Callithrix jacchus: one gene and its partners. The protein of the gene in region 1 binds, or shares a complex with, the protein of each later gene. Links are inferred from orthologs where the notes say so. Each region holds a gene or a part of one and is shown in the gene's direction. Other genes may lie near its edges.

Region 1 (5,139 bases):
ATTGTAATTGTTATTATTGTTGTGGAAGAACAGGCACATGGGGGAGCCCAGAGAAGATTCTGCCTCATACTAGAGAGGCTGCGGTGGAAATGCTAAGAAGTGATCACATTCAGAATGTTTTAAGGACAGTGTTGGTAGAATTTAGAGATGGATAAAATGAGGAAGGGGGTGCTAGTGACAGAGGAGGCCAGTGCTGATTCCCAGGATTTTGGCTTGATCCCCACCTGTGTGTATGGTTGTGTGTATGTACAGCTGACTCTTGAACAACTCCGCTGAATTGGAAATCTGCAGATAGCTTTTTACTCCCCCAGAGCTTAACTACTGTTAGCCTGCCATTGACCGGAAACCTTGCTAATAAAGCCAATTAACACATATTTTAATATATGTATGATCTACTGTACTATCATAATAAAGTAATTTAGAGAAAAGAGGTTATTAAGTTGTTCATAAGGAAGAGAAAATATATTTATTTATTAAGTGGAAGTGGATCATCTTGAAGGTCTTCAGAGGAAGCGGAGAAGCTGGTTTTGATGCCTCTGGGGTAGCAAAGGGGAGGCAGAACAGGTAGGCACAATCAGTGTAACTTTATGCTTTTTTGTAAAGTGTAATTTTACAAAAAGTAAACTTTTTACTTTTTAAATTTCTCTAAAAATGTTATTTATTTGTTTTTAATTTTTAAAATGTATTGATTTCACTTCAGGTGCATACTGTATCTGGCATTTCTCCCCATGTTATCCCTCCCCATCCCCCGCTGTCTCTCCCCTACACCCCCTAAAAATGTTTTTTATGGGACCAATCCTCCTTCAGCCGTTTGCTGTGGTTCAGTACCTGTATCATGGAAGGGTCCGCGTTGTAAGAGAAGCCAACAGCAGTCTTGAATAATCAGAACCCTTCTGCCAGGATGCGTAATGTCGGTGTGTTTTCTCGTACTGCTTCTTCTGCATCTTCTTCATCATCTGGCAGTGGTTTAGAAATTTTTTCTCTATTAAGTTGTCCTTAATGTCCTCAGGATCCATCTATTTCCTTATTTTTTCAGTTCCAGAGTGTTTAACTTGAGACAGTTGTCCAAAGCTTGCTGGAATTTCAGCATGGCAAACCAATGAGAGGGGATGCCAGTTCAGAATAGAAGAGTCTCAGTTTCAGTCCTCTGAGCGGGTGAGATATGCCTCATACCAGGCTGGTGTTGCCTTTAAAACCAGAACCGATAGTGGTAGACACATGCCGAGAGGAACGTTTGTCTTGGGGGCGGAAAGGGCCCTGTCCCTCAGGAATGAAAGACTTCCCGAGAACTAGATGGCAGGACTGGATCCCAGCTGGGAGGCAAATAGAATGAGAAAACTTGATTTTTTTTTGAGGTACATTTAAAAAGATGAATTATGTTTGTAAGTCTCGGGAAAGGGCTTTGGGTTAGAGGATAAGGAGCCCGAGGCAGAGTTTGTTGGGGAAGGCTTCACCTCTAGGGGCAGCTGAGTCAGTGGCCCGTCACCAGCATTTAGGCAGCCAGACTGTTTCTTGGCCTTGTGGATAAAGAAGCAGGTCTTTACTAGGCTGCCTGAATTTGCTCAGAAAGTATATGAAGCTGAGCAGCAGGGTGAAGGTCATTAGTCCATGGCTGGGAGGGAGTGAGGAAGGCTTTAGTTAAAATGAAAAGCTTGGGGCCGGGCGCGGTGGCTCAAGCCTGTAATCCCAGCACTTTGGGAGGCCGAGGCGGGTGGATCCCAAGGTCAAGAGATCGAGACCATCCTGGTCAACATGGTGAAACCCCGTCTCTACTAAAAATACAAAAAATTAGCTGGGCATGGTGGCACTCTCCTGTAATCCCAGCTACTCGGGAGACTGAGGCAGGAGAATTGCCTGAACCCAGGAGGCGGAGGTTGCGGTGAGCTGAGATCGCACCATTGCACTCCAGCCTGGGTAACAAGAACGAAACTCCGTCTCAAAAAAAAAACAAAAAGCTTGGGTTCATTGAGTTTCTCACCTATGGGGCAACGAGAGCTAGAGGGGTGGCAGTAAGGTAAAAATGCTAGACAGAACCTCTTCCTTAAACTTGTGGCTTAGTTACAGAGACCACCACATTGTGAAACCATTACTAACCATATGTGATACTGTTTCTATATCACCAGAGAGGTCATAGTTAGTGTCTGATGTGCCCAAGGCCTGGAGGACAGTTTTAGTGGCTCATAGGTTCAATGACAATGTTTAAGTTGTATTTTCCCATTGCTGATAATCTAAGAAACTCCTTTTTTATCAGTTAGAAATATAAGCCTTTCCGTTTGCGGTAATAGTTTGTAACTCAAAGACATTTCCATAGGCTAAAGCTTTAGTTTCTTAAGTGAACGCTGTTCAAACCCATTTTCTTAAAAATTGTAATCCTGGAAGGTAGAAACCTGATCTGTCCCTGGAAGAGTAGGTTGGTCCTGATAGGTGTTTCTGCTAGAAGAGAGGATTTGCAAGGAATAGCGGAGTGCATTTGGGGTACTAGAAAATTTGAAGGCTATAACAGTGTCAGCTTTTTAAATAGACCGTCCTGACCACGTGTCAGTAGTTTGTGGAATACCTTTTTCTTTGTTGTCACCTGCCTCTGACGACTAAAGGACCTTTAACTCTTCTTGTTGAGAAGGTAACTCCCAGAGCCCACATTTAAAGAACCGTCTTCTAACCCTCATGTTATTGAACAGTGTCTAACATAAACTTTTCTTTCTCTTCCCAAGTGTGAATTTTGTTTCCTTGAGACTTTATTTCTGAGCAGTTAATGTTTCTAGCAGAGACGTCTGTAGGAAGGTCCATTGCATTATGCCTTTGAGCATTAGCTAGTCACTAGGGAAGCAGGTTTTCCACTAGGAGCCAGAACATCAAGGAGAAATTGTCTTTTTTATGTACCAGCTTAATCCTGCACCTTTCCTTGGTTAGAGATTTGTTTCCCTCAAATGTCATTGCTGTCCTTTTATTTTTCTTTTGTACATAAGATATCCCAGAAGGTATCTTCTGGATATCCCAAACTTCTGGAATATCTTATGTACAAAAGAAAAGTAACTTAAAAGGACAGCAATAAAAAGGTCTTTATTCTTCTTCGATTTGCTGTACAGTTTTAACAGGATTACTAGTAAAACTGAGTATGTGCTTGTTAGTTGCATTAGGTCAGACTGAAAGATTATTTGTTGAGATGTAGGCCTAACAGGGAACAGTTCTTTTAAAATCTTTTTTTAAATAAGTGTTCTCTTTTATTTCTTTACAGAAATAAAATAAAAGTGTTCTCTTTTATTTCTTTACAGATTCCAGCAAGATTATGGAAGAGCATAGCCAAAAGGAGCTAGATTTACAAAATGGGAGCTTAAAGGGAGACTCTGTGGTGCATTCGACTGAGAACGATTTCCAAAACGTGATGGAGAGCCTTAGCCCAAAGAAGTACTCTTCCAGTCTGAGATTTAAGGCCAATGGGGACTATTCTGGCTCCTATTTAACCCTCTCACAACCTGTGCCTGCAAAGAGAAGCCCTTCTCCTGTGGCAACCAGTGTCAGAAGCAGCTCCTCCTTAGCCAAAATCCAGGGAAGCAAGCAGTTCTCGTATGATGGAACTGACAAAACTATTTCCATGAAACCTCCAACTCCTTCACTCAGCATTACATCCTCCCTCAGTGGATATCCACTTGGAAGAGCAGACTTTGACCCTTATTCTGGCCGGGACAGCGAAAGGGCCTGGAGGCTCTCAGAGAAGCCTCCCTATTCCAAACATAGCTCCAGGAATAAATCGCATGACAATGTCTGCTTTCTGGGAGGCCTGGAAGGTCGGCAGGCATCTGGCTCGCTCCTAGCCATGTGGAATGGAAGTTCCCTGAGTGATGCCGGCCCCCCTCCTCTCAGCAGATCGGGAGCTGCAAGCACACCTTCAAGCCCAAAGCAAGGCAGGAAAATGAGCATTCAGGACAGCCTGCTGCTCCAACCCAAGTTAACCAGACACAAGGAGCTGGCATCTGAAAACATCAATCTGAGAACCAGGAAGTACCCCAGCAGCAGCCTGAGTCACATGGGAGCCTACAGCCGGTCACTTCCCAGGTTGTACAAAGCCACAGAGAACCAGCTGACACCCCTCAGCTTGCCTCCGAGAAACTCTCTGGGCAATTCCAAACGAACAAAACTTGGGGAAAAGGATCTACCTCATAGCATAATAGACAACGACAATTACCTTAATTTTTCTTCTTTGAGCTCAGGGGCTTTACCCTATAAAACCTCTGCTTCTGACGGCAATCCTTATGTAAGTTCTACCCTCAGTGTCCCTGCCAGTCCTCGAGTAGCTCGGAAGATGCTTCTGGCCTCCACCTCCTCCTGCGTCTCTGATGACTTTGATCGGGCTTCATACGCCGGGACAAACTCAAGTCATTCACTTTTAGCTGAAGAATCAGACAGAGTGTTTGTGACCAGGCGGAACTTCTCTTGTGGATCTGTGGAGTCTGATGAGGCTGATTTGGAAAGCCTCAGACAGGCCTTAGGAACCCCCCAGCCTGTCCTTCGGGAACGGAAAAGCAGCATTAGCTCCATTTCAGGGCGTGAGGACCTGATGGATTATCACCGGCGGCAGAGGGAGGAAAGACTCAGGGAGCAGGAGATGGAGCGATTGGTAATGTTCACCCCAGCAATGATTGACCTCACTGTTTCATTAACCAGTATCTACAGGGCAGCCTTGTAGACCAACTCCAGGATACGTGGGAATGCAGGATTTTCGTGCTCACTAGTCATAGCTGCTATGGTTCTCTTCTCTCCTGCTGTCCTTCCTCTTCCCAGATCACTATTCATAGGCATGTTTGGCTATCCTGAAGGCCTACAGCAGTTAATTTAGTTGATCTGTGAACTCCTCACAAGTATAAACTCTTGAAAAACATGACAGAGGGGTTGAGACTTTTATGAAATTTCCGAATCTTACAAGCTTCTCTTTAAGACTATGAGGAAATGCTGACTTTGATTATAGCATTAAATCTGCATGTGTGTGGTTATGAGAGAAGCAGTCAGTGAAATCGTGACTCAGCGAGAATTAGGTAGTAAATTTGTCTTTACAGCAGGTTGTCTAGAAAGTTGGAGTTGCCTCAGTGGTGCTCAGGTTTTTGCACACTGCTCGCGCACACCCTTACTGTCTTCAGCTCTGAC
Region 2 (5,777 bases), on another chromosome or scaffold:
CATGTGGTAGTGGTGCAGAGAAAGAATTAGAACTGGGGGAAACTGAAGTCAGAAATTCAAGTTACGAGTTTGGAATAGTGCAGGTCTGACAAGTAATAAGATGGTAATGATATAAAGTAGGTTTTTGAGAGCAGTGGCCCAAGACTGTGGGTTTCTTGTAGCATTCTATTGTTTGAAAGAGTGTAAATTGTGGACACTCAATACTTTAAGTACGGAAAGAAAAAAATGACTTTGGAGTCAAATACACCTTGGTTTCAATACAAGTTCTAGGTGATCTGGAGAAATTTACTTACATAACTTTGCTGAGCCTTTGATTCCCTCTGTTAAAATAACACTAATAACACTCAATTTACAGGATGATTGTGAAGATTAAGCATGACACAATGGTGGATTCTGTGCATCCCTCTACAAATTTTGGCAGATTGGTGAAATGTATGGCATGTCATTAATTAAAAAACAATGAGGTTCAGTAATCCCAGCACTTTGGGAGGCTGACACCGGCAGATCACCTGAGGTCAGGATTTCGAGGCCAGCCTGACCAACATGGCGGAAACCCTGTGTTTACTAAAAATACAAAAATTAGTGGGTGTGGTGGTCGGGGCCTGTAGTCCCAGCTAATCGGAGGCTGAGGCAGGAGAATCACTTGAACCCGGGAGGAGGAGGTTGCATTGAGCCAGATCATGCCACCGCACTTTAGCCTGGGTGACAGAGTGAGCCGTTTCAAAACAAATAAGCAAAAAAAAAAAAAAAAAAACCAATGAAAAACAATAGAAAGTTATTAATTCACTATATTTCTAGAAGATGGTGGGTTATATGCTGCCTATATCTCATACAAATAAAGCTGCTTTTCACCATTCATTTCTGCCTCTAAGCAGTATCTGCCTTGGAAGAACCAACTTCTGATACTTTCTTTTCTGTCAGCCGAGGGGATTATACCGCATGATATCTGTCAAGGATAAATGTTAGTTAATTTTTAATTGATAGCTCAGCCACTGCAGTTGGTTCCGTTCCATTCAACAGTAATTATTCTCATGTGTTTTGTGGAACTCAATTGTGAGCCCTCCTTCCTCTATCCTTTTCAGGGTGTGCATTAAAACAGCAGCCTTAAGGTCTTTAAACGTGTTATTTTTCCTGCTTCAGAGATTCAATTTTACTTGCCCGAGAAGCTTGTGTGATGTGATTTTCGTCGCTAAAAGCAAAAGCAGCCACATGGCTGATAACACCACCAGCTGGGTCGTTTTCAGGAGTCTCTTCCAAACCTTTCGGAAGTGCTTTTGAAGTTCTACATTCCCCGTCTAAGGGAACACCCAGCAGTCCCAGGATAATAGGGCAGAAGGGTGAGCTGACGTTTTCCTTTATTTGCATGGCTTAAAGCTAGCCATTTTCTACACCACGCGCCGCCGGGCTCGTACTTGCCCGTGACACCCAGGCAATTGTTTCTCCTTAAAAAGGGTGTTCGGGTGGCTTAGTTTCGTTTCTGATCTGGAATCGCAGCAAATACGACGAGAAAAGTTTAAGACTCGACCCGCCAGGTTCTTCCCTATCGCATTATCCCCGTTCCTTAGAGATAGTAGGAAGGGCAACATTTTCTTCCATCCACCCACTTCCAGCCCTAGTCTGGCTCGGCGAGGAATGTATAAAATTAGTGCACTCCTCTGAGTGACGTTCCCCGAGTCCAATCATCGGGCGCGTAGGCACCTCCTGCCCCGCCCCCCTGCTGACTCTCTTTGGCTGATTCCTGCAGGGAGGGAGGAGAGAAGGGCGGCAGTGGGAGGGGGAGGTACCTGGAACTGGGAGTGATGTCAGCTCCCAGCTCGATGCCTGCCCGGATTCCTGACATGGTGTAGGGCAGGCACGGTGGAGAAGGGACGGGAAGGACTCGTGTGCTGCGAGCCGGCGGCGGGGCGGGAGTACTGGGCTTTGAACTCCGTGAGGAGGTGGACAAGAACTTTTGGAACTACTGCCGGCGGCTCTCCACCCCCCAGGTAAGGGCGTTTTGCTCCACTCCGAGACGGGAGGGAAGTGGCACCGTTGTGTGGCTGCAGCTGGGTGTTGCAGCTGCTCTTCTTCCCCGGGTGGATTTCCTTGTCCAACTCACTCCTGTTTCCCAATGGGAACGGGCACTTTTTGGGGGTGCTGGGGGTGGAGGGGTAGGGCATAACTCCTGGGGCCCCGCCTGAGCTTGTGCGTGAAGAATACTCCAGGATTGGACGTGTAGGTCTTGTCTGTATCTTTAGACCCCCGCACCCTAGGCTCCCAGTAATACTTGAGAACCCCAACCAGGGGTGTGTGTGTCTCTGTCTATGTGTATTGGGGGATTTAAAAATGCCACAAAAAGTTATGAATCATTGATTCAAAAATTATGCTCGTTGAAAGGAAAAAAAGTTTTGTATTTTTTTTTTTAATCTCCCAGTGGCCTATTATATATTAAGTGAAAGAATATCAACGTTATTCTTACATATCAATGTAAACTGCCCTTTTGTGTAATCCAGTCGGGATGTGAGAATTCACTTGGGGTGTTTATTAATTATGAGCTTGTGGGAACACTCGTCTCTTGGGGGCACACTTCTAAAACTGCAACTCGTAGTCACTCATATTTTAAGTGAGAATCCCTTCAGCTGCCAGCTTTGTATCTGGAGAGGTTAGGATGGCTGTGAAAATCTTCAGATCTGTTTCCTTTGGCCACTTGAGGGGCTGGCTGATAGTTGTGTTTTCAGGGATCTTTTTTAGAGAAGGGAGTTTTAACAGGGAAATGCGGTGGAAGGCGCGGCATATGAACTCTTAATTATAGGGACGTGAATTTTTGAAGCTGTGGGACCAAAACAAATCCTTGCTTTCAGTAAGAACAGTAGAGAGCAATAGAAAGAGAACTTGATTTCAAAGTCCAAGTTTGGTATTTTGAGAAAACAATTGCCTGTCGGGAGAAAAAAGATACTTTTAAGAAGTGAAAGAATAGAATCCTGATTTGTGTTTATTTCCTGTTTCAAGCCGTGTCTTTTTCCTGTGTGGACATTTTGTGTGCCCAGTCACTAACTGGGTGTGATTGACTTTCTTGAGGGGTTGGGGAAATTGGCTCCACACACTGATTCAGGACCCTCTCATCAATGCTTTAAGGCTCTCTTCTGGAGCAGGAAAAAAAAAAAGTAGGCGCTGAGACTCCTGAGTCAATTTTCCCCTTTCTTTCACAGAAGCCCTCCTCAGCAGTGAGGATCCTACTCTTGCCAGGTCTGGAGGAAATGGGAGTGGACTTCATTGAGAGTCAAAATCCATATCCCAGGCCCCTGAAGGAAAAGGCTTTTCCAGGAGATGGAGAGAGAAGTCACAACAGTACATCTAGTAAACCCAAGTCAGGAAATGGGATAGAGGACTATAGATGGAGTTGTCTGTCTTTCTAGCCGGATGATCTTTAAGTTGCGTAACTAGAAAGAAGTGTTTGGTTGTGTTGTTGTTTAGGAAATATCTGGGTCTGTATTGTTCTTAGTTCCTGAAAAAATTAAATCGAGTGGATAAATAGCAGGCTTTATGAGAAAGGAAAATTTGGTTTATTGGAAAGACAAGAACATTTAAATTTTGGGTTGTGTTTTGGCTTAAGACACAGAAATTGCAAAAGGCTCTGCAATAATGATGAACAAGTCTTTTCTATTTATGTTCTTTGGGGGAGTACATAAAACATATCGTATTTTCTAGTGTACTTTTTCAGTAGGATAGAGCTGTGGAGTGGAGTTTCTGTGGGCTAATGTGAACTCACTGTAGTGTTCCTTGGCTGATAGTGTTCCAACTGCATTTGTAATACCAAAAGATGGGGCTGCAAAAGCCAGATGGCTAAGTAAAGAAGGGTATCTTTAGGATGTTATCCTTGTGGGCCAAATTCAGATATACACTTTCTTTCCAAGAAACTAGTCCTAGTTTACGGACTTGAATATACCAAAACTCTAAATTTGATTCACAGTTTGAGTAATAGCAGTAATTTTGCATACTTAATTTAAACCAATATTTCTTTTTCTCAGTCCATGTTTATGAGGCAGATATGGTGTAGTAAAACACAGACAACTTAAGAGATGTTTGAGTTATTGAGAAAGGTAGAATCAGGTTTAAATTCCTTTGACCAACAACTGTCATACTTCCAGTAGCAACTTTAAAAATTAAGGTCATCTGGCCTTAATGGATAAAATGTCCTGAAATCCAGGACACATGGAAGTTCCAGATCAATAGTGCCTAATTTCAAGGACATCATTGACAGTTTTTGCGAACAAGTTCATTGAGGGACGGTTAATTAACTGTTTATTTAGTCTCTTTATTACTCCTTGTACTAGCATGAGATAAGTTAGAAAAGGTCATTTTTCCCTTAGTTACTGACTAGCTAACTTCTTTTAAAACTTTCATATTCATAAAGTATTTGTATGAGTTAATTTAGATTATATGGATAATTTGTTACATTAAAACTTTTTATTTATATACCAAACCAGCATAGTTTTCAAACTGTTAACTGAAAGAACACTGTATTCAGTATTCTGTCTTGTCTTTTTGTTTTTTGTATTTTTTGAGACAGGGTCTCGCTCTGTCAACCTGGGTGAAGTGCAGTGACGCAATCTCGGCTCACTGCAGCCTCTACCACCCAGGTTCAAATAATTCTCCCACCTCAGCCTCCCCTGGGACTACAGGCACGCACCACCACACCTGGCTAATTTTTGTATTGTTAGTAGAGGCAAGTTTTCGCCATGTTGTTCAGGCTGGTCTCGAACTCCTGGGCTCAAACGATCAACCCACCTCAACCTCCCAAAGTGCTAGGATTGAAGGAGTGAGCCATGGGTGCCCAGCCTGTCTTTTCGAAGATGTTGTTACATGTCTCTGGCCTAGTTTAAATTACCTTTTCAAAACAATGAGTAAAGGAGTGAATTAATGAATGTATATTCATTCATGTTTGGGTTTGTGTCTTGATTCTTTATTAAAGAAACGTTGCTTCAAGGGGAAAACATAGGCAGAAAGTTTTGCATAATGACATTTTTATTTTCAGAGATTTCTTTAGAAAGTCATATTAGATCTAAAATTAAGAAAAAATATCACAGTTGCACAGCCAGTTGTGATTTTCAGAGATTTCTTTAGAAAGTCATATTGGATCTAAAATTAAGAAAAAATATCACAGTTGCGCAGCCAGTTGTGAAATATTTCAGGAAGCCATAATCATAACTATCATGATTATTTTGTTGTTGTTTTTAACTCTGGTCAAACAGATGGATTTAAATATGAGAGTTGAAGCTATTAGGGTTACTGTCACATTTTGATGCAGGATGCAGAGTTTTTGTTTTTTATAGACAGAGTCTCTGTTGCCCAGGCTGGAGTGCAGTGGCGTGATCTTGGCTCACTGCAACCTCTGCCTCCTGGGTTCAAGTGATTCTCATTCTTAGCTTCCTGAGAAGCTAGGATTGCAGGCGTGTATCACCACACCTGGCTAATTTTTGTATTTTTAGTTGAGACGGTTTCACCATGTTAGCCAGGCTGGTATCGAACTCCAGACCTCAGGTGTTCCACCCACCTCAGCCTCCCAAAGTGCTGGGATTACGGATGTGAGCCACTGTGCCCAGCTATGCAGGGTATTCTTTGTGAATAAAGAGAACAAAATGTCTTCTGGCCAGCACTTTTTGTTCAACTAAAGGTGGATAATTTCACAATTAAATCAGTTATCAAACTGTCCAAAGACTGCTCTGGGCCCTTGTAGTTCAGCACATCCATAACGTGTTATGTCATTTATTTCTCAGATTCATTGTAGTGCACGTCAG
Region 3 (5,739 bases), on another chromosome or scaffold:
CACCATGCCCAGCTAATTTTTTGTATTTTTAGTAGAGGCGGGGTTTCACCATGTTGACCGGGATGGTCTCGATCTCTCGACCTCGTGATCCACCCGTCTCGGCCTCCCAAAGTGCTGGGATTACACCCTTGAGCCACCGCGCCCGGCCAAGTTTTAATTTTTTTGTATAGACACAGGCTTCCCTGTATTGCCCAGGCTCAAGCAATCCTCCAAGTTGGCCTCCCAAAGTGCTGGGATTACCAGACGTGAGCCACTGCACCTTGCCTCAGGCTGGAGTTCCAGGGAAAGATCTTGGCTCACTGCAACCTCAGCCTCCCAGGTTCGAGTGATTCTTCCACCTCACCCTCCTGAGTAGCTGGGATTACAGATGCCCACCACCACACCTGGCTAATTTTTTTGTATTTTTCGTAGGGATGGGGCTTCACCATGTTGGCCAGGCTGGTTTTTGTAGGGTTGGTGCTTCACCATGTTGACCTTGTGATCCACCAGCCTAGGCCTCCCAAAGTGCTGGGATTACAGGCGTGAGCCACTGCACCTGGCCTCACCTGGCCATTAACGTGTTTAAAATAGCAAGAAACTAGGGGCAAAAAGCACAAATTCATGTTTACATGTAGTCAGTCAATAAATATTTATCGAATGAATGAATAAATTAATGGCAGGTGTACCAGACCCTGGTAGGTGAGAAAGTTAGTCGGAGGTAGTGCTTGTTCTCCGTGCGTTCACAAGGTGGAATCAGGGAATTCACCTTGGACGGGCTCACGTTTCCCTCTCCTAGCCCCTATGCAGCCTGTTCTCAGACTTGATTCGTTCTGAGGGGCTCTTGGCTGCCTCACACCAACAGCAGTGGTCAGTGGAGACCGGCGATGGTCTCCTGACATGTTGGTTTGTGAAGACCAGCGCTCGAGTCAAATTCTGGGAAGATCGGGAGAGCATCCGCTTTAATTTACTAAATTTATTAGCGGCGTCTCTATTCATCTCCGTGTCTGCAACATCCAGCACAGGACCTGGCCCATGGTAGGTGTTTAAAAATGCTTGCGGAAAAGATCAAATGACCAAGCCTCGTGCAGTGCTGCCCGTCAGCTTCTCAACCAGTCGCTCTTTACATCTGATTGACATCTTAAAGCAGCCTGGCAGGTAGGTCTCCATCATTTTCCCATCCCACATCGGAGGCGCTGAAGCCCAGGCGTGTTTCCCGAGTCGCCCGGACCCACCGGGCCCTCGCTGCAGTGTGAAACCACAGCGGCAAAGTCTGCCCGCTGGACGCTGCGCCGGGGCGTCCCCAGGTGCGGCAGGCAGCGCTCAGTAAGTGGGTCCTGGAGGGAAGCGCGTCCTTCTGAACCCAGATCAGGCCCGGGGAGACTCTGGGAGCGACGCGGAGGGCGCAGTCGGGGCCCCAGGCGGTGGCTGAAGCCTTGGCTCGCTCTGCCGCAAGATGGGAATCCAGAGCCTCCAGCTCGGGAGGGACCTGACGTGCCGGACTGGTCCGGCTCAGAACCCGAGGCGCGGCGGACTGACGCTCGGCAGAGGCCTCCGCTGTACCTGCAGCTGTGGGAGGAGACTGGGGACCCCGCGAGCACCTGAGCTCCCACCTGTGGCTCATCCCGGGGACGCCGCCCCCAACCTGGGCGTGGAATGGAAGGGCGGGGCTCCGTCACGTTCAGCCAATCAGCGCCCTGAAGCCGCCGGCCGCCCCCTCCTGAGGAGACGGCACTTGCGCACTCGGGCCGCAGAGCTCCTCGGGCCCCGCCCCCGGGGCAGTGCTGACGCTCGCGCCGACGCGCCCGACGTCGGGCACGTTGACGCCGGCGCCGCGCAGCCGGGCCCGCTCCTCCTCCGCTCCGCCAGTGTCCGGCCGCGGGCCGGCCTTAGTGACTGGGGCGGCGGGCCCCGGGGCCGCGGCGTGGGGCGGGCAGGCTGACGCCGGCCGCGGGCTGCCTTCGTCTGTTCTCAAGCTCGCCTGGAGCGAGCAGCCGCCCGCGAGCCGCCGCAGAGCCTCCTCGTCCGCTCCCGCCGGCGAGCAAGGTAAGGGAGCGGGACACTGAGGCAGACCCGGGGCCCAGGCGTTCCCGGCGGGTCCCGATCCCCGCGGCGGCCGCGCAGCCGATTGGATGTCTTGGCGGGGAAGGGTGCGCTCCGGGGCGGGCGGGGGCGAGGCGGTAGGGGAGCTCCGGCGGGACCCCCGCGCCCCGAGGGACGGCTCCGGGGGCTGCGTGACGCCCCTGCCCGAGCCCCGCGCCCCGTGACCCTGGCGCTGGGGCGAGGGGCGGGGACCTGCGGCCGCTGAAAGCCCCGGCCCGGGCGGGCTCTGCTGTCAACGGTCCTCACCCCCGGGGTCCTGGGCTCCCGCCGCATCTGCTACAGGAGGGGAAGGAGTGCGGGCGCGAGCAGGCTGGAGGTAACCATCCGCATCAGGTGCGCGGTCTTGGGCATCCTCCTCTCGGGGGTCCACCGCACCCCGAATACTTGCCTTAAGGCTCAGAAGCGACTTCCCGTTCCCCTCCCGCCGTCTTTAGATTCCAGACACTTAATAGTCTCTCATAATCTCACCTTTCACTTTTCCTTCTTTCCTAGCCGCCCCGGGCTGTATCGACCTGCTATATTTCCATTGTGGAATTTTTTTTTTTTTTTTTTTTCCGGTTGTAAACTTACGTAAGTTAGGTTGACTGACCAACCGTTGCAGCCGTTGAAAAACACTTCTACCAGCGTGTAACGAATTCAGTTCTTTTTAGTGCTCACCGAATCCAGCCCAAGAATTCAGGGAGCCGGCCGTTCTTCCCGGGAGCTGACCGCACACATTCCTGCAAGATGCCTGATGGATTTTGTACTTGTCAGTTTTGTTGGCTGTGTGCTCCTTCTGTGCTTTTCCTGAAAAATGATTGGGTGACATGTGTTTTGACTTTCTCTCCCCCCACTGGGAAGTAGAAAAAACAGGTAACAGAAGCACACTTGTTTTCCACGAAAACGTACAGCTTTGCTAAAAGACCACCCCAGGGTTTGCCTTTTTTGTTGTTGCTGTTAGGGCAGTCCTCTGGGATCCTGACTCCCTCCCTGGGTTTTTGTCCGTGTTGATGTCTTCATGTCGTGTATTTCTGCACTTAATATTTGCCCCGTGTGTGTATGTTCTCAGCTTCTTTACATACAAAGCATACCAGTTCTGAGAATAATGCGGCTGCCCATCTTTTTAGCTACAGATACTGTGGGAACCTGTATTCGCACTTAGTGACCGTAGCTTGGGGCCTTGATTTCCAGATGATGTGCGAGGTGATGCCGACCATCAGCGAAGCAGAAGGTCCCCCTGGAGGAAGCGGAAGCCATGGGTCTGGCTCCCCTTCACAGCCGGACACAGATTCACATTTCGAACAGTTGATGGTCTCCATGCTAGAAGAAAGGGACCGTCTTCTTGACACACTGAGAGAGACTCAAGAAACGCTGGCATTAACCCAGGGGAAGTTACACGAGGTTGGTCATGAAAGAGATTCCTTGCAGAGACAGCTCAACACGGCACTTCCGCAGGTATGAGTGCTTTTAACCTGGAACTCTATAGATGCTTTGTTAATGTTTCAGATGAGCATTTTCCGTAACCATTTGTGAAATGATGGTTTCTGGTGTTTGTAAGTCAAATACAAAGTTCCTAGGGATTAAACCTCTTAGGGAGAACAAACTGTTGTACTCTAAAGTCCTGTGAAAAGACCTCATTATTTTCATTCCTGTCTTTGGGAACTGCCTGGGTTCAGGAAGTTCGTTCTCCAGAGTTGTTGAAAAACGGCTCTGAAGCCGCAATCTATACGGTGCCTCTGTTCTGTTGTCTTAGCCTTTTCTTCCTAGACTTGTTCTTCCCACGGATTGTGTCTCTCATGTATTTCCAATTTCCTAATGAAATTTCATGGACAAATAGGATTGATTTCACAGAAAAAAATATTTTGATAGCCCACCTTTTTCAGAACACCTAGGTTTTTGTAAGTCACATTTGTTTTAGGGGATAGAAGACTGGAAATTGATTCCCTTAGAAACTTTTTCCTTGGCAGATGAGAATTTTAAAGCTTAGGCCGAATGTGGTGGCTCATGTCTGTAATCCCAGCACTCTGGGAGACCGAAGCAGGTGGATCACCTGAAATCAGGAGTTCGAGACCAGCCTGGCCAGCATGGCAAAACCAAAAACACAAAAATTAGTGGAGCATGATGGCACACACCTGTAGTCCCAGCTATTCTCGAGCTGAGGCATGAGAATTACTTGAACCCGGGAGGAGGAGGTTGCAGTGAGCCAAGATTGCACCACTGCTTTCCAACCTGGGTGACAGAGCTAGACACTGTTTCACTGTCTCAAAAAAAAAAAAAAAAAAAAAAGGTTTTTAAAGCTTAGAACAACTGAAATTGTTTCTCTGAGTATATAACATTTGGACCAGTGTTTGAAAGACTTTGCTCATGGAGTTGAATGAGGATGAATTAGTGGTAGGTAAACGGAGGAGGGGTAAAAACTAGAAAAGTGTGAGGTGAGTGGCGCGGAGCACAGTAGGAGAGAAGTGGGTTACTTAGGTGGTTCAGAGCCCTCTAGGTGCCATGTCACTTACCACAGGTGCCTTCGCGGTGCCTTCAGGTAGACCTGCGTAATCATAGGCTTATACTCGCATGATGGTCTGCAGTGATACATTCACAAATGAGTAAACTAGCCTTGACGTACTTCTGGGCTGTAGTCAGTTCTCCTGACAGATTGATGAGCCCAACGTGCATTTCCTTTTTAGCAACAGTAATTTGATGTTAGCACTATGTGTTCCTTTTTGTTGGGTTAGAGAAATATTAAGATTTTTCTCAATTCAATTTTAGAGACCACCAAGTTTATTTAGGTCACATTTTATTACTACAAGTTGAAAATAATTAGCCTATTTATGTTTTACCAGGATTTTGTTTTATTTGTAATTTAAGGTACATGTATTGAAGTGTATATCAAATACTAATGTGATGAATAAGGTGGGTTTGGGAAAGAATGGGCACATGTCAGGGAAGTGACAGGAGCTTTGTACAGTTAGTCTCAGGCTGCAGAGGTTGTCACACTGGTGACAGGGTTGCTCAGTGATTTGTTTCTGGTACTGCTCAGTGTAGTAGCCTGGAAGTGCCTAGTTCTGCGGATAATGCGACGATGCCAGTGGTTCACGTCACCACCTGAGCACCTGATTCCAGGCTTTCAAAGATGGAAACTATTAAGTCAACTTGTTTTGGACCCTTCCCTGTCCTGGAATCTGGTTCATCTTTAGCAGCTGGTGGTGTGACCAGATAATGAGTCCAGTAAGTGCATTTGTGCTCTTGGCACATTGTGGAGGCAAGTCAGAGTGTACTTAACAATACATAAAACTGTAGCATACAGCAGAAAAGTTCATAGATCATGAGTATACATCTCAGTGGACTTTTCACAGAGTTAACACACTTGCATAACTGCCACCCAGAACATGACCAGGCTTCCTGGAAGTCCCCTCCTAACTATTCCCAGTAATTGCCCTCCGAAGCTAACCCTGATCTTCTGCCATTGATTACTCTTGCCTGTTCTTGGCTTTAAGTGAAGTAAAATAATATATATGTTTTGTTTATTCACTCTGTCACCAGTATCATGTTTGTGAGATTAAGCTGTATTTTCTCTTTTTTCTTTTTTTTTGAGACAAAGTCTCGCTCTTGCCTAGGCTGGAGTGCAATGGCCCAATCTCTGCTCACTGCAACCACTGCTTCCCGGGTTCAAGCAATTCTCCTGCC

The links. Proteins that work in one complex are often made in the same cells at the same time.
Region 2: PHLDB2 (region 1) and PPFIBP1 share a complex: the UniProt entries of both Homo sapiens proteins name them as parts of the cortical microtubule stabilization complex. The link is inferred for Callithrix jacchus from reciprocal best matches to the Homo sapiens genes PHLDB2 and PPFIBP1.
Region 3: PHLDB2 (region 1) and PPFIA1 share a complex: the UniProt entries of both Homo sapiens proteins name them as parts of the cortical microtubule stabilization complex. The link is inferred for Callithrix jacchus from reciprocal best matches to the Homo sapiens genes PHLDB2 and PPFIA1.

What each region holds. Positions count from the first base shown.
Region 1 is NC_133516.1:103,093,970-103,099,108, forward strand, and holds part of PHLDB2 (pleckstrin homology-like domain family B member 2), read left to right. Parts: intron 1-3,272; coding exon 3,273-4,615; intron 4,616-5,139. UniProt on the Homo sapiens protein: Seems to be involved in the assembly of the postsynaptic apparatus. May play a role in acetyl-choline receptor (AChR) aggregation in the postsynaptic membrane.
Region 2 is NC_133510.1:43,716,968-43,722,744, reverse strand, and holds the start of PPFIBP1 (liprin-beta-1), read left to right. Parts: upstream 1-1,827; 5' UTR 1,828-1,985; intron 1,986-5,777. UniProt on the Homo sapiens protein: May regulate the disassembly of focal adhesions. Did not bind receptor-like tyrosine phosphatases type 2A.
Region 3 is NC_133511.1:127,207,597-127,213,335, forward strand, and holds the start of PPFIA1 (liprin-alpha-1), read left to right. Parts: upstream 1-1,789; 5' UTR 1,790-2,022; intron 2,023-2,247; exon of another isoform or gene 2,248-2,412; intron 2,413-2,717; exon of another isoform or gene 2,718-2,931; intron 2,932-3,249; coding exon 3,250-3,513; intron 3,514-5,739. UniProt on the Homo sapiens protein: May regulate the disassembly of focal adhesions. May localize receptor-like tyrosine phosphatases type 2A at specific sites on the plasma membrane, possibly regulating their interaction with the extracellular environment and their association with substrates.